Linked DNA regions of Schizosaccharomyces pombe. The gene in region 4 interacts genetically with the main gene of each other region. Each region holds a gene or a part of one and is shown on either strand. Other genes may lie near its edges. The genes, in order: git3, rhb1, sak1 and cgs2.

Evidence for each region.
Region 1: of cgs2 (region 4) and git3, a mutation in one rescues a mutant of the other (synthetic rescue), as found in Schizosaccharomyces pombe (one study listed by BioGRID).
Region 2: of cgs2 (region 4) and rhb1, extra expression of one rescues a mutant of the other (dosage rescue), as found in Schizosaccharomyces pombe (one study listed by BioGRID).
Region 3: of cgs2 (region 4) and sak1, changing one suppresses a phenotype caused by changing the other (phenotypic suppression), as found in Schizosaccharomyces pombe (one study listed by BioGRID).

Annotation. Positions count from the first base shown.
Region 1 is NC_003421.2:1,541,785-1,548,103, forward strand, and holds git3 (G-protein-coupled receptor Git3), read right to left. Parts: upstream 4,312-6,319; 5' UTR 2,798-4,311; coding exon 1,397-2,797; 3' UTR 549-1,396; downstream 1-548. Other genes in the region: single-stranded DNA-binding protein Ssb2, read right to left, coding at 5-130; meiotic recombination protein Rec7, read right to left, coding at 6,104-6,319. UniProt on the Schizosaccharomyces pombe protein: G protein-coupled receptor (GPCR) that senses glucose and signals via the heterotrimeric G protein alpha subunit gpa2 to activate adenylate cyclase and PKA signaling, and suppress sexual development and gluconeogenesis.
Region 2 is NC_003423.3:473,156-476,381, forward strand, and holds rhb1 (Rheb GTPase Rhb1), read right to left. Parts: upstream 1,343-3,226; coding exon 1,281-1,342; exon of another isoform or gene 1,222-1,280; coding exon 963-1,221; intron 909-962; coding exon 672-908; 3' UTR 515-671; downstream 1-514. Other genes in the region: SPOM_SPBC428.15 (Obg-like ATPase), read left to right, coding at 1-284; wpl1 (WAPL family protein), read right to left, coding at 1,472-1,726, 1,772-1,824, 1,865-3,226. UniProt on the Schizosaccharomyces pombe protein: Binds GTP and exhibits intrinsic GTPase activity. Regulates entry into stationary phase when extracellular nitrogen levels are adequate for growth.
Region 3 is NC_003424.3:3,146,427-3,151,278, forward strand, and holds sak1 (DNA-binding transcription factor Sak1), read right to left. Parts: upstream 3,294-4,852; 5' UTR 3,082-3,293; coding exon 781-3,081; 3' UTR 522-780; downstream 1-521. Other genes in the region: rRNA processing protein Fcf2, read left to right, coding at 1-133. UniProt on the Schizosaccharomyces pombe protein: Positively regulates cyclic AMP-dependent protein kinase-mediated exit from the mitotic cell cycle.
Region 4 is NC_003421.2:1,809,803-1,814,586, forward strand, and holds cgs2 (dual-specifity cAMP/cGMP phosphodiesterase Cgs2), read right to left. Parts: upstream 2,842-4,784; 5' UTR 2,830-2,841; coding exon 2,740-2,829; exon of another isoform or gene 2,679-2,739; coding exon 2,670-2,678; exon of another isoform or gene 2,624-2,669; coding exon 2,211-2,623; exon of another isoform or gene 1,759-2,210; coding exon 1,230-1,758; 3' UTR 535-1,229; downstream 1-534. Other genes in the region: coatomer delta subunit Ret2, read left to right, coding at 1-111, 182-457; SPRY domain membrane protein, specificity factor required for ubiquitination Ear1, read right to left, coding at 4,533-4,784.

The DNA.
Region 1 (6,319 bases), 270 kb from region 4:
TTACTCTATCGACGCTGGGCTGGCTCGATTGATCATATTCATTAAATCCAGCGCCTCCTCCCATTCCTGGAGAAAAAGCGCTATTGAAGTCGGGACCATAGCCCGGCTTGCCAAAAGCATCATAAGCCATGAGCACGTATTATCTCAAATTATGAAAGTTTGTTAGGGTGAATTAAAGAGCGATGAAAAAGCAAATCAACCACTTAAAAATATATCTGCGATCTTTTAGAGAGTGATTTTTAAATAATTGAATATAAAGTTACAGCTGATTCCACGAGTAGTCTACTTTTCAGTGGTGTGTTTAGTACAAGTTACGAGTCGCGTTTCGCGGTGGTGTACCGAAAAGAATAAAATCAAGCAAGCGTGCTTATATACTACAATGTAATAAAATTAACTGTTTTATTTAGAAAACCATCTTACATCTACTTTTTTTCTCTATAACCGTATAGTTTTCAATACAAAAACCTACTAATCACGGGATGCTCAATTGACTTAAAACGCTTAAAGCAATCAGATACTGTGCTACCATTCTGCTTTACCAAATGTAAAGAAAAACTAAAAAATACATTATTAAATTTGTAAACATTAACACATTCATATGTAACAAGAAGGCATGGAACAAATGTCCGACGCAATTTTACAAATCGTATAGGAAGAAAAGCGATTTATCCACAACAAAAGAATAGCTAATGGTGAATGACTATTCGCACATCGACATATACAAAATAAGAACATAAACGTATTGCTATGCACAATCCATCCATTTTATGTATTGAGGAAATATAGTATTGGGGACATAAATTTTGAATATAGTTTTGAAGACAGATGCTTAATGCAAGCAGTAAAATGTAAGAGCATCTGAAAAATGAAAACGAGTGAATGATAGTTGGTAAAGCTGAACATAAACATTCTATATAAGGAAGAATTGTTTAGGCGACTAAGCGTTCCAAAAATGAATTCCCCGAGATGAATAGAAAACTGTCATAGACACAGTACATATATATACATCGATAATTGTGAGCGGCCTTATCAATTTGAAGCAGCCAAGCTTTAAACCATCTTCCAATCCGAGCCTTTTGCCAAGTTAAGTAGTGCCAAAATTTAATACTTCGAAATAAATTCTGGGAAGCGAAAATTAAAGTATGACATATATTAGAGGTGATGCAAAAATGGGAGATATTAAAATATTAGTTGGTTTACCACAGTTGTTTCCATTCACATTCCATTGTCATTCACTGGATGGCTTTAACAAAAAAGGAAGACATATGAATGCAAAGGCTATGAGAAAATTTTAAGAAGTAAAGTGATAATAAAATCGTCATAAAAAGAAATTATAATACAAGAAGAGGAGCTTGTGAGACTTCACCATAAACAAAAATAAAAAGAACAAATCCTTCTATTTTTCCTCACCAAATTTACCCCGCCACCATTTTAAAGTCAACTCCTTTATTTGATCCCAATAACTTTTACTCGAATCTCTTTCCTTCAAATACGTGTAGCCACGATAACAAATCCAAATAAAATCTGACAAGGCAATAAAGATGGCAACGAAGTTGTCTGCAAAGACTGCAACAAATGCGAATCGTTTGCATGAACCAGAGCAGTGCAACGGTTGGGCAAGTATAACGATAATCTGTATTTGAGGGAGAATCCACATAAAGATAAAAATTGCAGGATAAGCAAACAAAAACTTAGACTGACTTAAAATGCGTTTCCGTTGTTTAAGGAGGGGATCATCTTGCATATCATTTCCATATGCAGCCAAAACACTAGAAGCACCATCTTCGTCACTAGTCAATGGACTACTGAGTTTAAAACTCGTGTGATCTTCAAGGCCATTTGTGCGATTTGGACTATCCCTAAAATCCTGTTCGAAATGTATTCCTGATTGATTTAGATTAGCAGGAGTAGACTGCGAACCAGGAGGCAAATTAGGATGCACAGAGGATAGTAACGGTCTCGAATAGGGAGAAGGTTGAGACTGCGAGGAGTAAATGGATTGAGAATTAGATGGAGTATATGTTAAAGTACTGTTGGTGTCGGGAAATGGTGGAAGAGCTACTTGATCCGGAGCGGTAGGATACGAATCAATGACATTTAAAGTATCAAACACATTTGTTTGTTGATGTGAGTATTTCTTGAAACGTTTGATTTTCCTTCTGATCGAGATGAACATGCAAGTTTGTAAAGCAATAATTGCAATACTTAGCGCATAATCAAATGACCAATTCAAACCAAACATGAATCGTACAGGGGTATAGGGAAGGTAGCATCGGGTTTGTAAATTGACAAATGTATTTCTTTTATTGGTAAAAGCAAGTCCGCCAATAGTTAAAGGAATTACAAATGACAGTGTAAACACAGTATGCCGAAAACGATATAGACCCCTTCGTTCAGTATCAACATGGGGGAAAAGCACCAAAAGAGCATTATGCAATATGTTGATAAAAATCCAATAATCAGTCATCCGAACAAGTACCAAAAGAAAAAATCCAATTGTAAAGCATCGATGTTTTGGAGCCCAAAAAAAAGGATCGCTTAATGCTAGACATGGATGAATCATTTGCACAATGGAACGAATAAACAATACAGAAAAAAGAGCGATATGAAATTGTTCACGTATTGTTCGCCGACGAGACCATCGCCAGAAGATAGCAATTAAGCTGAAAACGATAGATATGGCTGAAGCTATAATGACCATGATTCTCAGGTTAGCTAACTCTCTGCGAGAGACAATGATGATGGAACTCGTACTCGTGGCATCGGAAACATTAAACGTATAATCTAAATGAAGCATGAGCAACCTTGTTCCTTATTACAAAGTTTAAACTTCTCTTCAAGAAGACAGGAAAAAAAAAGAGAGGAGAGGAGGTGAGAAAGTAAAAAACAAGAAAAGCAATATCAGAACGAAAAACAAAAAAAAAGACAAAAAAAAAAGGAATACTCCAAAGACAAATCTATGACTTCAGAAATGTTCAAATAGACAAACAAGAAAGCAAAACAGAATTTTCAGCCACTTGGGTAATCAGTCCTATTACCCTTAAGAAGTGCAAAAAATAGTATATCTCGTATATCCAATTACCCAAGATTGCATATCTGACCCTCGATTTTCTATAAATTGCTTCGTTCGCGAATATAAACAGTCTCTTCAAGTTGATGTAAAAAACTTAGCAAACTGGCAATATAGAAGGAGCTCTCTAAACTAAACGAGTTTGTTTCGAATATGAATTTGAATTCCCGTACTTTTATTTTTGTTTCTGTTTTCTTTTTTCCAAAAACAAGCTTCTCGTCTTTACTTTTCAATTAACTCAACTATTCTTTCGAAAGTTGTAGACACACGATTAAACTGTTAAAGGTAAAAGTTGAAATAGTAAATCTACTGCTTTTTCCTTTAATCGTGGCCGACGAAGCAGCTCAAAAGTGATAAACGAATGCAACCAGGAAAGCCGGACGCAAAACGGTGCCGACGATTATTAATAAAGCGCAGTCCCGTCTCGACACTCTTGGCAAGAAGAAAAGCGCAATTGACGTGAACAACCAACGATGTATTGTGCTTATAAAGAAAGCACTAGTGAAGTCACTTAGAGCTCAAAGCCACTTATGCACGTTTTGCAAGGCTCTTAATAGCGTGGCGAACCTTCTTAAGGATATTGAAGAATAGGGAAATCGGAGGCGGTATGGCTTGCAATTAACGCCGTACAGTGAATAAAGCGGTACTAAATCAAATCGGTGAAATTTACCGATAATTAAGGAAAAGACAAATCAATTGAAGGCGCCGTGGTTTGGGTTGGCTGATGGAGTTGGCTTGATTATAAGTAATGATGGCGGAGAGTTGCCGCCTTTGCTGTTGTGTATGAGTGTGTAGTGAATATGCACAAATATACCTCAACGACTAATGGATAAGGTGTTATAGCAAGTACAGTAGTTAAGTACCAATGCGGGATTTTTCTGAAAAAATATGCAAGCACACGGGCTTGACAGAAACACAAGAGGAGACAAATAAACCAAAGTCTCCGCACCTTAAGTCCACAGAAGAAGAATAAAAAAAAAGATCGCAATTGAATTATGTGAGGGGGCCCAGGCGTCAATAGTACAGAGTCGATTGACTAAGTAGATTTAAGATCACAAGCTGTAGAGCAAATCAGAAATTTGCACCTACGCAGAGACAATGAACAATTGTAATTTCAGAAAAAAAAATATCGACAACGATTCAAATTCCGAGTAATTTTCTAGCAAGACTATTGAAGAAAAAATTTCCCTAATCCCTTGATGAGCCTTGTCGCACTAACACAATATCGGCGATGCTTTCACACTCCTAGATGTGCTACCACCAACCATTATAACTTATGAAAAAAATTTGTAGTATCGCTGTAAACGAAATTTTTGTGTAAGAATGACGAGAGTTGTTTTTGCACAGACAAACGAGGTTCGGACGATCGGCCTATTTTTTAAGTACGATAGTGATTAGTATAGTATATCGTGAGGAGCAAATACAATCGCATAAAAAAAATCAGGGTGAAAAGAATCATTTCAGAGTGCGTTAATGAGAAAGTCCTCGTTATAAAAGAAAAAAAGGAACCGATGATTTAAAGTTATTGATGGTTTTAAAAAACAGCGTTTATTTTTACAGTGTTTAAAGTCAAGTCAATATTAGGCACAAGAAGAGGTCACACTTTATTTTCAAAAGAAAATGGATGAAATGCAACTCCATGCGTTGCGATAAGCGTTAAACACCAATCTAGGAAGCAGTCCCTCAACAGAAATGAAGCGAAAATCGAATGATGGTGAGAATAGAATAATAAAACGAGCCCCGGTAAATTGAAAGTTGATAGAATCAAGTTTCAATTAGGGGTAATGAAAACGTGCTTAAAAATAGGGAGTAATGTTGTAGTTACCAAAATGAACAATTCGGACCAGACCAATAAATATTGTCGAAATAAAACAAGGAGTGTTAAATTTTATTATTATGTCTTTATTCTCCTTGGAAACCGGTTCGTCCACGTGAAGAGAATTCTATTAGCATTGTCGAAACCGTTTGATCCGGTTATGCCTTCATATCTTTGAAAACATTTCCGCCAATTCCACCAAGTGAAAATCACAATATCGTTAGTCGGTATTGTCTTTAGGTTTACTAGCGGGGGCGTTTTTGTTTTGAGGAAAAAAGAATATTCTCTGGTTTCCATCTACCTTAAGTGCCGATTAGGCAGATAAGCTAGATTAAGTGAAATGGGAAACGGGATTCATTTTCCATTGACAACACTTTTAAACATTATTTGATAATTCGCATGCAACCCTTCAAAGTCGATTCGACATTTTAAGGTTTACTTCACGGACATTGAAATCATTGTGAAGCTTTGTAGACTGTTGTCTCTCTCGGAAGTACCCAAAAAAAAAAAAAAAATCCTTTTTACACTCATAACGTTCTAGCTGTTTCATCCCTTTAAAAAATATCATGTTTTTTTTTTGGTGCTCGGAACATTTACTTTCTCCACTTGGTTCGTCTATTTTTGAAGTTAAACTAACTATTTGACCATTTTCGTACTTAATGTCATGAACTCCTCTCGTGGATTGTTAAGTCAATTATCAAAACCAACCACCAACTCAATTTTAACCGTTGTAACCTGACCCATTATTAACACTAGTATTCATGCTGTACTTGCGGCAATTCCCCCATCAAAAAGTTTTCAGAGTTGTCTTTTGATACCGATTATGTGTCGTGGTGGAGGCTTACACCCCAAGGATCGGAACGGGATCTTCTCAATTTGATTTTAATGCTCTGCATGGACAAGCCTAAGGGAAAAGAGTCATGCAACAAGTAGAGAAATTTATTTCAACATTGTTGTGTTGGCGGTTTCTGTTTGCTAATCCTCAGCAACGATCATATGCAGTTGAGATCTCGACCAACTTTTCGTTAAATAATGTCAAAATTTGCAACAAATGTTTTATCACGGTACTCGAAGAATGTGAACTTAATGAAGTTTCTCATTTGGTTGCCAAATTGTGGTCACACATCAATTTTGTCGAAATAACCATTCCGATCCTGATTTCGTTCCATTTTTACTACTTTTTTAAATTTGGGATTAAGTTGAATTGGTCTGTCTTCCTACATCTTGTTCCATACCCGTTCCAAACTTTGACATAATTGGATGAAGCTGTCTTGTTTTAGATAGAATAATACCTTGGAGCGTAATTGCTTTTCCTCTTCAGTAAGTTCTGTTGGTAGGATTTGTGAAGTCGTTGGGGGTGATGGAATCAAATTTGCGTATGCTTGGTTCTCCGGTTGAGCAACCCACGAAGCCTGTGTCTGAGAGTTCAGCGG
Region 2 (3,226 bases), on a different chromosome or scaffold from region 4:
CTGGAGTTTGTAATGTTTTAGCAAAGGCAATGGAACTTTTAAATTTGATTCCAGTTTTTCCCGTTAAAAACGTTCACAATTTTGCAAACTCTCCTAATGAAGGTGTTTTCAGAGATTGCATCTTAGTGAAGCAAGGAACGACTGCTGGACAGGTATCTCAAATGGTATTGGGTGGAGAAGCAATGTCTATTGTGGGTGTAAATGGAAACGTCGGCGAATCTGATGTTATTGTCCCAGGTAAAACGGATATCCTTCACTTTCGATTGCGGAAAGCTGAAGCTTAAGTGATTCATGAAGAAAAGTGGTAAAAGGTCGATTTTGGGAAATATTCAAAATAGTTTTGTATAGATGTTAATAAACAATACTATGTCTAAAAATTAATTTGGTTAGTTTAAAACTTCCGAAGAGCTAACTCAACAAATTACGTCTACAATGTCTGGCTGTACTTTCTCCACTATGTATTACATTGACTAAATTTTAAAACCATAGTTTAGGTACTTGTATATTTGAAATAAAGAGTCGAAATCTTGTAAACCCATGTGTAAAAAAACACGTTTGTGTGCAAAGTATCACCTCATGTAATGTAAGCCCATATCTTGCATTAGCAAAGATAAAATCGTTAATTCAGTTAAAATAAATTAATCCATAATATGATAAATTCAAGCAGAAGCTTAGGCGATAACACAACCCTTTCCATCACCAGGAGGGGAAGGATTTGCTTGTTTTTCAATTTCGCTGATAATTAGCTCGAATGCTCGAGCAACATTTTCGTTATGGCGAGCTGAAGCTTCTGTCCATGCACATTTCCATTCATTGGCCAATGCTTTTCCCTCTTCAGCGGTAACAGCACGCTGCATATGCAAGTCGCTCTTATTGCCAACAACCACAATGGGGACCCACTCAGTACCCTTAATAGCAAGTAGGTTAGTAAAAAATTTAAAAATTCTAATAATTTGACATACAGTGTGATTCAATATCTTGTCACGAACTATTTTAACCATCTCAAAAGAAGATTTGCTAGTAATGCTGTAAACGAGTACATAGCCATGGATTCCAATGGAATGCTTAGAATTTAAGATACTGTATTCATCTTGACCAGCCGTATCGATAATTTCAGTAGCAAATTCTTGACCCTTATACTTGATGTTCTTGCTGAATGTATTTTCAATAGTTGGATAATACGATTCAACGAAATGGTTTTCAACATATTGCACCGTTAAACTATTTAAAAAAAATGGTTAGTAAACCTATTTGCGCATAAACTTCAATCAAACGCTTACCTGGACTTTCCAACAGAACGACTGCCAAGAACAGCAATTCTACGAGATTTAATAGGAGCCATTGTTTAAATTAGAAAATTTCAAGATTATAATATTTAAAAAGGCAAATTATTAACTATAGAGTGATCGTAAAAAAAAGTGAGTGAAAGCAACGATGTTGTGGATGTCACGTTCCCAGCGCGCCGCAAAGGTCATTTTACCAAGTCACTGCGCAAGTAGTCTTGCAACGATTTATGTAGTTCATCAATTATAGAAACAATGGCTAGTCCATTAGAACCCATCATCATTAATTCCTCTTTCAATTTCAAATGAAAATTTTTAAATTTATGTAGAGATTCGTAAAACTGAGATATCAAAGGCTTGAGTTGGGCAAACGCTTTGGGATCATTTAAAAAGCAATGGCTTAAAATCATTACGACATATCCACTAATTTCTACGATACTTTCCTACATTTGTTAGAAATGTCTTACAACAGAAGTAGTACAACTTACGTTCTTTTGATAAAACGAAATGAGGACATCGAGTGCTGAAGCTCCGAAAGAAACTAAATAGAATTAGTAAAAATATTAATAAAAGGAACTTACCTTCAACATGAGTGATAGTTTGAATAAACTCATGAGATTCCTCAACTAGCCCTAGTAAAAGACCAAGGATTAAGATAATTAGTTCTCGTGTAGTTTCATCATCGGACGAAAAATTAGAAAACTTTTGTAAAATTTTATAAGCAAACAATGGGACTTCTGATTTAGAAACCGCTAACGCATGATCACTGTTAGAATTAACTGTTTGAATCAAAGTACGCAACAATTTTTCACTGCATGCATGGACAACTGTATCGTCAATTTTTGGTGAATTTGTTTCATTGTGTTCATCAATTAAAATTTGTAACTTTGAGGATAAGATCTGTGAAACCTTCTGAATCTTTTCTGATCCCTGGAAATCCGTAAATTTTTCTAAAGAACTACAAAGTGCATGAAGTAAGAAGTTATTGCTTCCATCGTTTTCCTTCAAGATGGGGTAGGATTTTTCTATTAAAAGATTGATTAATTCGGTAAACAACTCGCTTTCCGCAAAAACTCCCGAGGACGTCTTCATAAGAGCGATAGCTGCAAGACTGATAGAATCAGAAGAAGCAAGAGACTCATTGCTAAAACTAAAAGTAAGCTCTGCCTTTATAACGAATTCTTGAACGGCTCCCTTTACACTTTTTGGTAAGCTTTTTGCCAAAATTGAAACCGGTACCTGCGGTTCTAAAGTAATAGCCGTTTGCAAAAGAAGTTTAACATTGTTTGAGTAAGCATCAAGCAAGGAACTCATGCAATCCATTTCATTAGCCATAGTTGCAAATATATAAATCTGCAAAAAAGTGTGTAAAGTATCTTTAGGATCAATTTCTTCAAATATTCGCAAGAAGACATCCCGTATCGACTTTAAGCATAAACGAAATGAATTGTCAAACATTTTTTCAGCGATTCCTATTAAACTCAAATAGCGAGAAGCAGAAGAGTTACCTGAGAAAGTCACTCCGTCCACTAAGTATTCAATTTCATCAACGATCCTTTGCTGCTCTCCAGCAAAGCGAAGTTCATGTATACTTTTCATTTGAATTTCATCATCTTCTGATACGTCTTCCTCTATCAAAAAAGCACGTTCTGTACCAATAGTATGGTTGGTTGAATCCAATTCTCGACCAGAGGATACTTCACGGGGTACAATTGGCTGAGTATCTAATCCTTCCTCCATCAAATACGATCTTTGTTCCCGATAGGTAGTGGAAGAATGGTTTGCGGAAGCATCAATACTACTACAGCTCGCGGACCTTTCCAGTCCTGTCTTATGAGAACCGTACTTTGAATTCTGAAGTCCATTTCTTAAAATTTGTTTTACCGGTGAAGACGGTAAACTCAAATCAGGATTACTAACGACCCTTTGCTTTTTATGCAGTC
Region 3 (4,852 bases), on a different chromosome or scaffold from region 4:
ATTATTGCACGATTCAGAAAGACGATCGTACTTCAAGAAAAAATATCTAGAATTACAAAAATCGAAAATGAGTGGACGGAAGGGGCAATATAAAAAACTTCAGCAGCGCCGAAAACCTTCTTACTTGAAATAGTGGTTGATGTTTCCATTTTCCGTTGTTTAAGTTATTTTGTCGTTTTTTTAATTTAATATATGGTCTTTAAGGGGAATATTTAAACATTTTATTTGAAGTCTTGTTTTTTAAACACGAAGTTTCTCGTAGAAAGTTCGCTTTTAGTATGATGCTGTTTTTTTGGGGGTTCGCTATTCTTGTTGAATGATATCGATGCCAATTTCCTCATTTGTATGGGCTTAATATTCTTGTTACTGCCAGAGAAATGCAATAATTACACTCAATAGTTTAAATAGGTTTTATAAAATAGTTATCGGAGAACATTTATATTAATCAATACATATGTGATAGTCGATATCAAAATTAAAGACAAAAATGTTGAAACTCTATTTACTGACAGTGAAATTTTAAAAGAAATAAAAAACAAATATAAAGTATAGTCACTTTCAATTTGGTATATGTATGGACGTTCACCCATAAGAAACAAGCGCCAGGATTATAGTAATCTAATTGCATTTCAAAAGTTCACAGACTTAAACAAATAGACCTCCTGAACAAAAGAAACATATATTAAAAAACAAAAACAATAATATGAATGATATTAACTTTTGTCAGTGTAATTACGCTTGCTTTTTCGAAGCCCTAAAAAGGGTCAACTATATTGTACATCAACTACAAGCACCATTTGTATCAAATACAATGGATATATAGTCGTCTTCCTTTTGCTTCTGAGCATTCTGGTAGGCAGCTTCCATCAAGGAATTTTTAGTGGCTTGTTGTTGTTGTTGTGATTGCAAAGCTTCGATGTCTTGTTGGAAGTGTTGCTGGGATTGACGGTGCTCCTGTAAATGAGGAGGGATATTACTCTGAGATATTCCAGCTTTATTATGAAAGTTAGCATGATGCTGTTCCAGCTCATCATAACTATCATCGAGGTATCCGCCAATCTCTGCCACCCAAGTCATGTATTCATCGACCCAACATCTAATTACCCAAAGAGCCCCAAATGCTTCACCTCCACTGACCGTGATTTCACGAAGCACACTAGTTTGTAAAGCGCCTAGGCATAGAAGAAACATTCTAGGAGAGCAGGAGGGAAATCTGGAAGGCAACTCCAGAAAAAAATCTGCCATACGATCTAAAACACCATCAATTTGTCGAAGTTCGACCCTGTTCATTGATGTATCACTGGCTTCATGTTTGTCCTTCAAAGGGTCTAAAAGCTCAGAAGGATTTGAACAGGTTGAAAGGATAGAATACCACTCATCCAACGCGGCTACTGCTTCTTTGTCATTGCACATTAATTCTCTATGTACAATAAATCTTGTACTGACAAATCGTTCCCAGTCGTTACAAATTAAATGCCTGTCGGCAGGGTTGGCAAGGAACCTAGCAGCAGCATGAGCCGTATCGTTGACACGCAAAAGACGAGACAATAAGTTACTAAAGATTGCGGCAGTCTCAGATTTGACTTGGAGAAGACAAGATGAATGAGAAGCGTATATGCTGGATATGTGATTAACGAGATTCTCAGCTAAATGACGCAGTAGCACCAAGACTGGCGGAGGTACCACTTGAAGAGTCATAGGGAATAGCAACTTCAGTATTTCCCTGTACATAACGGTATCAGAACGCTCAATCCATTTCGTGAAATAAGGAGAGGACAGCAAAGCTAAAAGAGAAGGAGAGAGGGAATTGGGAAAGTTAGAGATCTCGGACAGAAATTGCTTGAGATGCATATACCGGACTGATTCAATTAGAGTAATGCAATGCGAAGAATAAATGTTCATTAATGCAGATTTCGCCTCGACATTATCGTATGGACCATTTAAATAATAGTCAATAGGAGGTAAGGAAAATGAAGACACGTCTAATGATGGGATCCAAGGAAGCTTATGAGGAGGCAAGAATTTAAGTTTAAGTTTGAAGAATAGGGAATGTTGAAGATTAAAATCTTCTTGTGCAGAAGCAGGATGCAAGGTAGGTACTATCGAAGAAGTACCGGGTACAAACGAAGAAGAAAACTGAGGCATGGGTTGAGAAAAATAGGTCGGTTGGGACACAGAACGGGGTGGTGCAGGTGAAGGTACCGAAGAATGAGAAAGTTGTGGCGGAACATTGGATTGTGAAAGATGTGAAGGTAGGGGATGGGCTTGTGGAGCAGCAAAAGAAGGAGCCAATTGCAAATTGGTTTGACTTCCTAGCAAAGGTATAGAAGGAGGAGGCGAATTGTAAGGATCTGATGAAGGGGTGACAGCGGATTTTCTAACTATAGCCGCAGCATTAACCGATGCAGGGCTGCTTTCTACACGCTGATTTGTGTTTTGAATAGAAGAAACATCGTTTTCAAAATGATTGGGAATAGGTTTGGGAAACGAAGAACAGGAAACGGGGGAAAGACTTGAATCTGAAAAGGTACGTAGTCTGCGAAAAGAGTCTTGACCACGCAGTTTAATACCACAATAATGGTATTTTGAGTGGCCACGCATGCCTAAACGTCGGGTTTTGATGGAAGGAAAGAGCAAACGAACCAGTTTTCCAAACGAAGCGGAATTTAGAGGTTTGATATGCAAAGAGTTACAGATTTCGACGTAATGAGCGTATATTTGATTTCGTTGGACAGCAGCATCTTGTTGTTCTTCACAAGCACGCTTTAACCAACATATGCCAAAAACCTGGCGAAATTTTTCCGAATTGGCACTTACGTGGTCCATTCGCAGCTTTTCCGCTAGCGACTCTAAAGAGTAATGTTCATGTTCCAACGCAAGTCTTTTTAGTTCTGTCTCTTGCTCTAAATCACTTCCTCGTGGATGTGCAGATTCGGAGGTTATGGAGGGGCGATTCAAAAAATTCTCCTCCTGGGGAAGCATAAAATGAGTATCAAAGCGTTGAACCGGGTCCAATTGATCTTGGACATTCATATCTGATCTAGACAGAGGTATTTGACCTGGTAAATCAGATGGATTCATAATCCTGTGCCTGACAGAACGTTTATCGGAAGTGCAAAAATTTACCACAAAAAATTATCTACTTGCCAACATCCAACCGGTACTATACAAACCTTTTTTAAGATACCAAAAATTAAAAAGCACCCTCTATACGTCGTAACTATTAAATCCTCAGAAAATATTTGAGGGGCAAATTGACCAGCCTTGGCTAGTCGGAAATGCTCAAGTGTGGTGAAGACAAGAAGATGCTTATGGGCAAAGAAAGCGCCAACTCCTCGAGGTCGTAAAAAAAATGTTTCCACCGTCGATCACTATCGCTTGTTAAGCGCAAGGATTTTAAACTTCGGTGTTTAAAAGACAAGGATAATCACGGCACTGCAGTGGGGCGCTTGATTACATTCTTAATTCTTCGCTAGCTTAATTTTACATCAAATTGCTTTTCTTTCCACCTCCTTCGGGCTTGTTAATTGTTATTTACGATATCAATCCATGATCCTATTCGTCGTTGCGAAGTCTTGAACCATTGAAACGTTAAATGAAATAGTGAATTTCATTGCACCTAAACCAAAGCAGTCGCTTGCATGCTTACACACACCAATCATAAGGAGGTGAAGAATGAATGCAAATAGCCGAAGTAAAGTCCATACAAGCTTCTTCTGTTTAATTTCTTTTTTCTTTTTTCTGCGGATTTAAAAGACTTTTATCTTTTCAAAAGAATCTTCATTTTCACGATAGCGTTTTTAAAACGACGAACTAACAATGACTTGTTTTTCTACCAAAATAGTAGCGGGTATTGCGGAAAACCCGTATTTTCGAGCTTTTTGAAAATCATTGTCTACTGCTAAAACATCACTAACACAAGTAGAATATTGCTGAAATCATGACTATTTAGTCAAAAAATTTCCTTTTTCTTCTTAGGAGTGGTAGAGGGAGGAAAGTAAAAATCAACGAGAAACTTTGCAGCGCTTATTTACCGCAAAGTGGGGATGGCGAGTCAATATGGAATAAATTAATGGAAAAAAAAAGAATGGCATGACCTGCGCATTCTTGTATGTTTTTTTAGTCGATCTATCGTACACAAAAAGCATCCAAAATTTTTTTACATTAAATTTCTACACCAACTTAAATATCATTTACAAAGTTTTTATACTTTAAAAAACATGTTTGTTTATACAAATTTACTTGCTCTCTTCAAGTTTTACGAACTTCTGGACACTTGTAACAAATTCGTTAAAAAATAAAAAAAAAATAACCTCACGCTTAAACGAGCTATTTTCGGTAGATTTTTAACGGCTTAAAGTTCATTCAATGACTCGCTCCATGTAAACTATCCTTCTTTTATGAAGAATTCAAATACCCACCATTGTAGGATTTTCTCCATACTTTCTAACAATATCACTTTCCGCCTTTAATCTTTTTTTTCCTCCCATAGTTTGGGTTTCTTATCCCATTTTTTGTTATAGGCATCTTCTCAGTTTCTGAGGTATTGCAACGCTTTAATTGTATGGTTATGAACTTTAGCTACTTGATTTTACCAAAAAAATAATCCCGTTTTGATACCATTTATCAACTATCTTTGGTAGAGAAGAAAAGTTTCTATCCTGTTGTCTTATCTGCGTGTCATTGAACATTCCTCCTATATTTTGCTTGTTTTCATTCTGACCTAGTCATAAGTGTAGCATTCGTTTCTACGGCCTTGTTCCTTTTTGAAAAAATTGTCTGCGAGCTGTAATCAGTTGGATTATAACACAGCTGTTTTTTTTTATTTTCATTACATTTATTCTTTATCTTT
Region 4 (4,784 bases):
TTTGACGAAGCTACCAGCCTTGGCTACAGAGACAATGTATCTTTGACACAGATCAAAACTTATTTGGAAATGGAGAGTCACGAAGAGAAAATTCAAGAAATTGTATCAAGAGTACGTGTTGAAGCATAGGGGTGGAGTCATCGAAATTTTTTTTGTATGGTTTTACTAATGCACTTTCTAGAACAAAGAAATTGAAGCAACTGAAGAAAGGAAGCGCCGCATCAAACAACTTGAATTACAAAAGAAAGAAGCTGCAAGACGGGCGGCTCAGAATCTTCCCAGTGCAGATGCGTATGAATCCATTGGGTATCAAACAGTTAATACAACCTTTGCTACGTCTAATGTTGAAGACGAATCTGCCATGGAGTCTTATCACGCTGCAGCAAAGGCTTCTTCTGCTCCCAAAGCGAAAGGAATGCAACTTGGAAAGAAGAAGAATACTAGCTTGTTATATTAATTTACTATTCCAGCGCCCTTTATGATCATTGCATCCGTTTTGGTTCGTTTCCCCTTTGTAATGTGCTTTTCCTACGATCATATGCGATAACTAGAAATAATAATCATTTTTCTATCCCAAATTAAACATCGTAATCAAGAGTCGACCATTACCAACTGTAATAGAACACTTTGTTCCTTTCATACCCTCCAGAATACTTCCTAGTCTATCCAATCGAAAAAAGCAGAGCAAACCTATATTGATTCATCACTCAACTAATATACCCGCTACCCTTTAGGAATGCTTCCTCTTGTTTCTAGGTAAACAATATTAGAACAGAGAAATCGTCATATAATATAACCCATTTATTCAAGTATATAATCTGGTTAAGACTTTTAACCCATCGTTCTATAAACCTCGTCAACAACAACAAAAAACCAAATTAGAAATCTATTTAAAAAGTAAAGCAGATTGGCAAACAAAGAAAAAGCATTCTATTTTTGAAAATAAAGTGTCCGATGAGAAAAGCGTGAAATTCTAATGAGAGTAAACCAGCAAAGCGAGGTACGATGAACTGGTAATGAAAAATAAAAAAAGGTAATAATTAATTGCTTTAGCATTCAATAATTAACAACAAAGTCAAAATTCCTCCAACAGAATTCTCAATAATAGAAAGACATGCGGCAACGGCGGAAGGATAAAAGGGCGTAACGAATAAATGGAGAAACCTAAAAGAAATTAAAAAAAAAAAATAAAAATATAATGAATATATGACCATGACCCTGGGATGCTATTAAAATTTATAAAATTGACCACGCTGAAGGATTTTAAATGTGACTGAAAGAGAACTTTTGGAAGACAACGACTCTAACTGCTCCAATATAACATCGGCAGGATTCGCCGACTGAAGAGGATGTGATTTCAAATGAGTGAGCAAACACGTAAGGGTAGGCATGATAACGCCATAACTCTGGACCAGAGATTGGAGTATACAAAGCTCGTTCACTAGATGTCTAGGGCAAAAATGACCAAACAAAAGAGTATCAGGGATGTCAGGAGTGGAGCATTCGATAAGAATATGAGAAAGCTTTCTTTGAGCAATTAAACTAGAGCAAGCTCTCCAAATATGAATGTTAAGCGGTTCTGAGGCTACCATATCGGGTTCGACGTCCCCGAAAGCCAAAAAGTATCTGTCGGATAGGTTATTCCTAAATAAAAATGCAGACGACTTTAGCTCTTGACCGAAAGAGGAGCCATGATTAACGGGAAAGGGCAATATAGACAAAGTAGTCGTTAAACTAGTATACATGGAAGGCTCAACCCTAAAAAGAGGTTAGTCTCATTGTCAAATGAGAAAGAGAAATGCCGATGGGGTTGATTTAGCAAATTCGCATAAGAGTTAAATTCATTAACTTGTTTGAACAAGAACAAAAGATATTAGAACAGTGAAAGAAAAAGAGATATAATTATTATTGCAATCTTTGCAATCTTTCAAATAATATCACTGTCTCACAAAAAAAATTGCACAAGTACCATGAAACCATGCAAATCAACCAAAGCGTCAGCAGATAGTTTACATATATGCAAAATATATAAATGTGTGTTCAGCAAATAGATTTGAAGGAAAAAAAGACGAGCATACATCTCTTCAACTAAGATGAAGAAAATAAAAAATTTTCAAAACTCAACATTGCCTTCCCAACCCTCAACCTATTCACTAAAACAATGAAAAAATTTTCATTTGACAGAAGCTATTGAGAAAGAATTTACTTACACCTGAAAATTAATAAATCCGGCTTTGTCGAGGGAAGGCCATAATAAGTTATTAAACACGTGCTTTTTTAGGGTATCGATCACATAGTTTAACCCAACTATGGTTCTAGGATTTTGAGGACCAAACATGGCGCTATTGATGACGGCTCCATAGATGTGGTCTAAATGACAGTGTGTGATGAGAAACGTTTTAATCCTTTGCTCTGAAAGGTGCCAGGCTTTTGCGTATGATTCATTTTCCACCGTATAATTGTCATACTTGGTGATGGAAGACCAAGAATCGACGGACAGGTGTTTTGACTGGATCAACTCAACCAACGCCGATAGGTGGCTTCCACCATCCAGCGATATAATTTCTTGAAATGCGCCATCAGAAATCAAATGACTGCTACAGCAAGACTCCAATGGACCCCCCTAATAAGTCAGCATGGCTCTCAATGCATAATGTTTGAATTCTTACATTTTGTCCCTGTTTTCGTTAACGTTAGTCGAAATTCTTCAAAAAAAAAAATATTTTTCGTTTTTCATACCAATGAATATAATGTAAAAGAATTTTCTACGAGTCCTACTACTTGATCGGTTTGAAATTCAGCTTCTTTGATTTCGAGTGCTGCATGCATGGCTAGGCTTATGGAGAGTTACAGATCTCCGGTGCATGCACTAGTCTACAAAAACATGTCGGTTGACGTCATATTTATTACAAGCATACATTTACTACCGTAGATTTAGGGTACGATAAACGATGCTCGAAATGTGGAGAAACTCGGGGTATAGTGTAGTGTGTTAATTATCCTTATTCATGTGCCCGCTTGGTGAAGAAGTATGCTATGAATAAATAAAAGGATGGAAGTCGTTAAGTGGAGAGGAACGAAGTTATGCTTTGCTGCTTTAAGTAAGATATTAAGAAAAAAAATGCGACTTTGATGAAACACGTTTGACATGTATCACTTCCTTATGAGAGCAATTTTTCCGAAGGTTCAATATACACCCTTAAAGAATGTCACGTAACGAGAAGAGAGAGAGCTATTTTTTATATAATTCCAGAGGTTTCCTTTTTTTATCGTTTAACATTTCTGAGGGGAAGTTTTGTTGCTTGTTTAACAATGTCGGCAGAAGTTTATGCCCTTCTCTTTAAGAGACCGACTAGCAAACAATTGTAAACTATCGGACACTAATATGTTTTTTAAAATAATAATTCATTATACATACAAAAAACTGAACCTCGTGTAATATAGATTTCCGTATGAACTTGGTTCTTTATCGGACTTTGAGGATTCGTAAGTCCCAGTCATTTTATCTGATTATGCTAAACTAACTCTTACTTTTTCATAGAGTACTTAGATAGTTCCAGTCAGTGCTGCTGAGAACCAGTTTGCATCAGTTAGGGAGGGTGGTAATCGTTGTAAGAGCTTTCAAAATATGATCTCCTTTTCCTTTATGCAAGATAATCAAAAGAAACATTCCTAAATTACCTATTTGAAGAATCTTTTGTATGTGCCGCTGAAATTGCTTTCCATTGAACTTTTTGTTGGTCTATGGAGAGAAATCATCATAGGTGCATAGCAGCCTTTAGGTAGATATTTTAATTAGCAATATATCCCAATTTTCCCTTTGATAATGATCGGTCTTTTTTCAATTAAGTCTATACCTAAAGGCATATTGGAAACTTGCTATAAAAGTTTGAAATAGAAACAATTCTCAGAATATTACTTGAATACGTTCTCTGTTTTACTCCCTTTTTTTTTTACTCACAAAGAATGTCACACTGCAGTATCGAATTGCTTTATTTGTTCCTTTGGAATAAAAAGGTAGATTTCCTTTTATTACAGCAAAAGATAACAAGACTAATAATTAAGCGGCTTTGTTTTTACCAGGAATTGCATTTTATGACACTACGCAAAATTAGAAATGTAAAAAAGCGCTTTCGAAAATTTCCTTTTACACTTTCATTATCAGGATTGACAACCCTATGAATTCCTCCGTTAAAACTTCTCACCAGCGGAATTCGATGAAGGTTGATGTTAACAGTATAGACTCAATAGCAACATTATACGAAAAATCATAATAAATTGTGAATAACCTTTTATTAATTGAGCGAATAAACATAGAGTAAATTTAATTAAGATTAATAATTATAACTAATTTTGAAGAAATTATTATAAAGAAAATAAATACATTGAACATCAACACATCCCCTTCAATTCATATACAAAGTGCATTTCTCGATTTTAGGACTAACTTGAAACACAACGCACAAACATTTCCACAACTTGATCTTTGGTTTTGGCGTGAAGGTTGTTAGTGCTAAGCTATACATTACTCCTTATACTTCATCGGTAGCAGGCATGGAGTGCATTTGATAAGCTTGATTGTTGGATGATGATGGACTGAAAACATTACCAGCCGCATCATACGAGGTACCATCAAAATTTATTGGAGGTGACCTATTTTTCGATTTGTCGGGTCTATTTGTATCGCCCTGCGTTGTTGTACCCGCTGAAGACTCACTAGCTGCATCCCAACTAATAGTTGGCTGCGATGTAGAATACGACGGAGGAGGAGCCAAGCTTCCAAC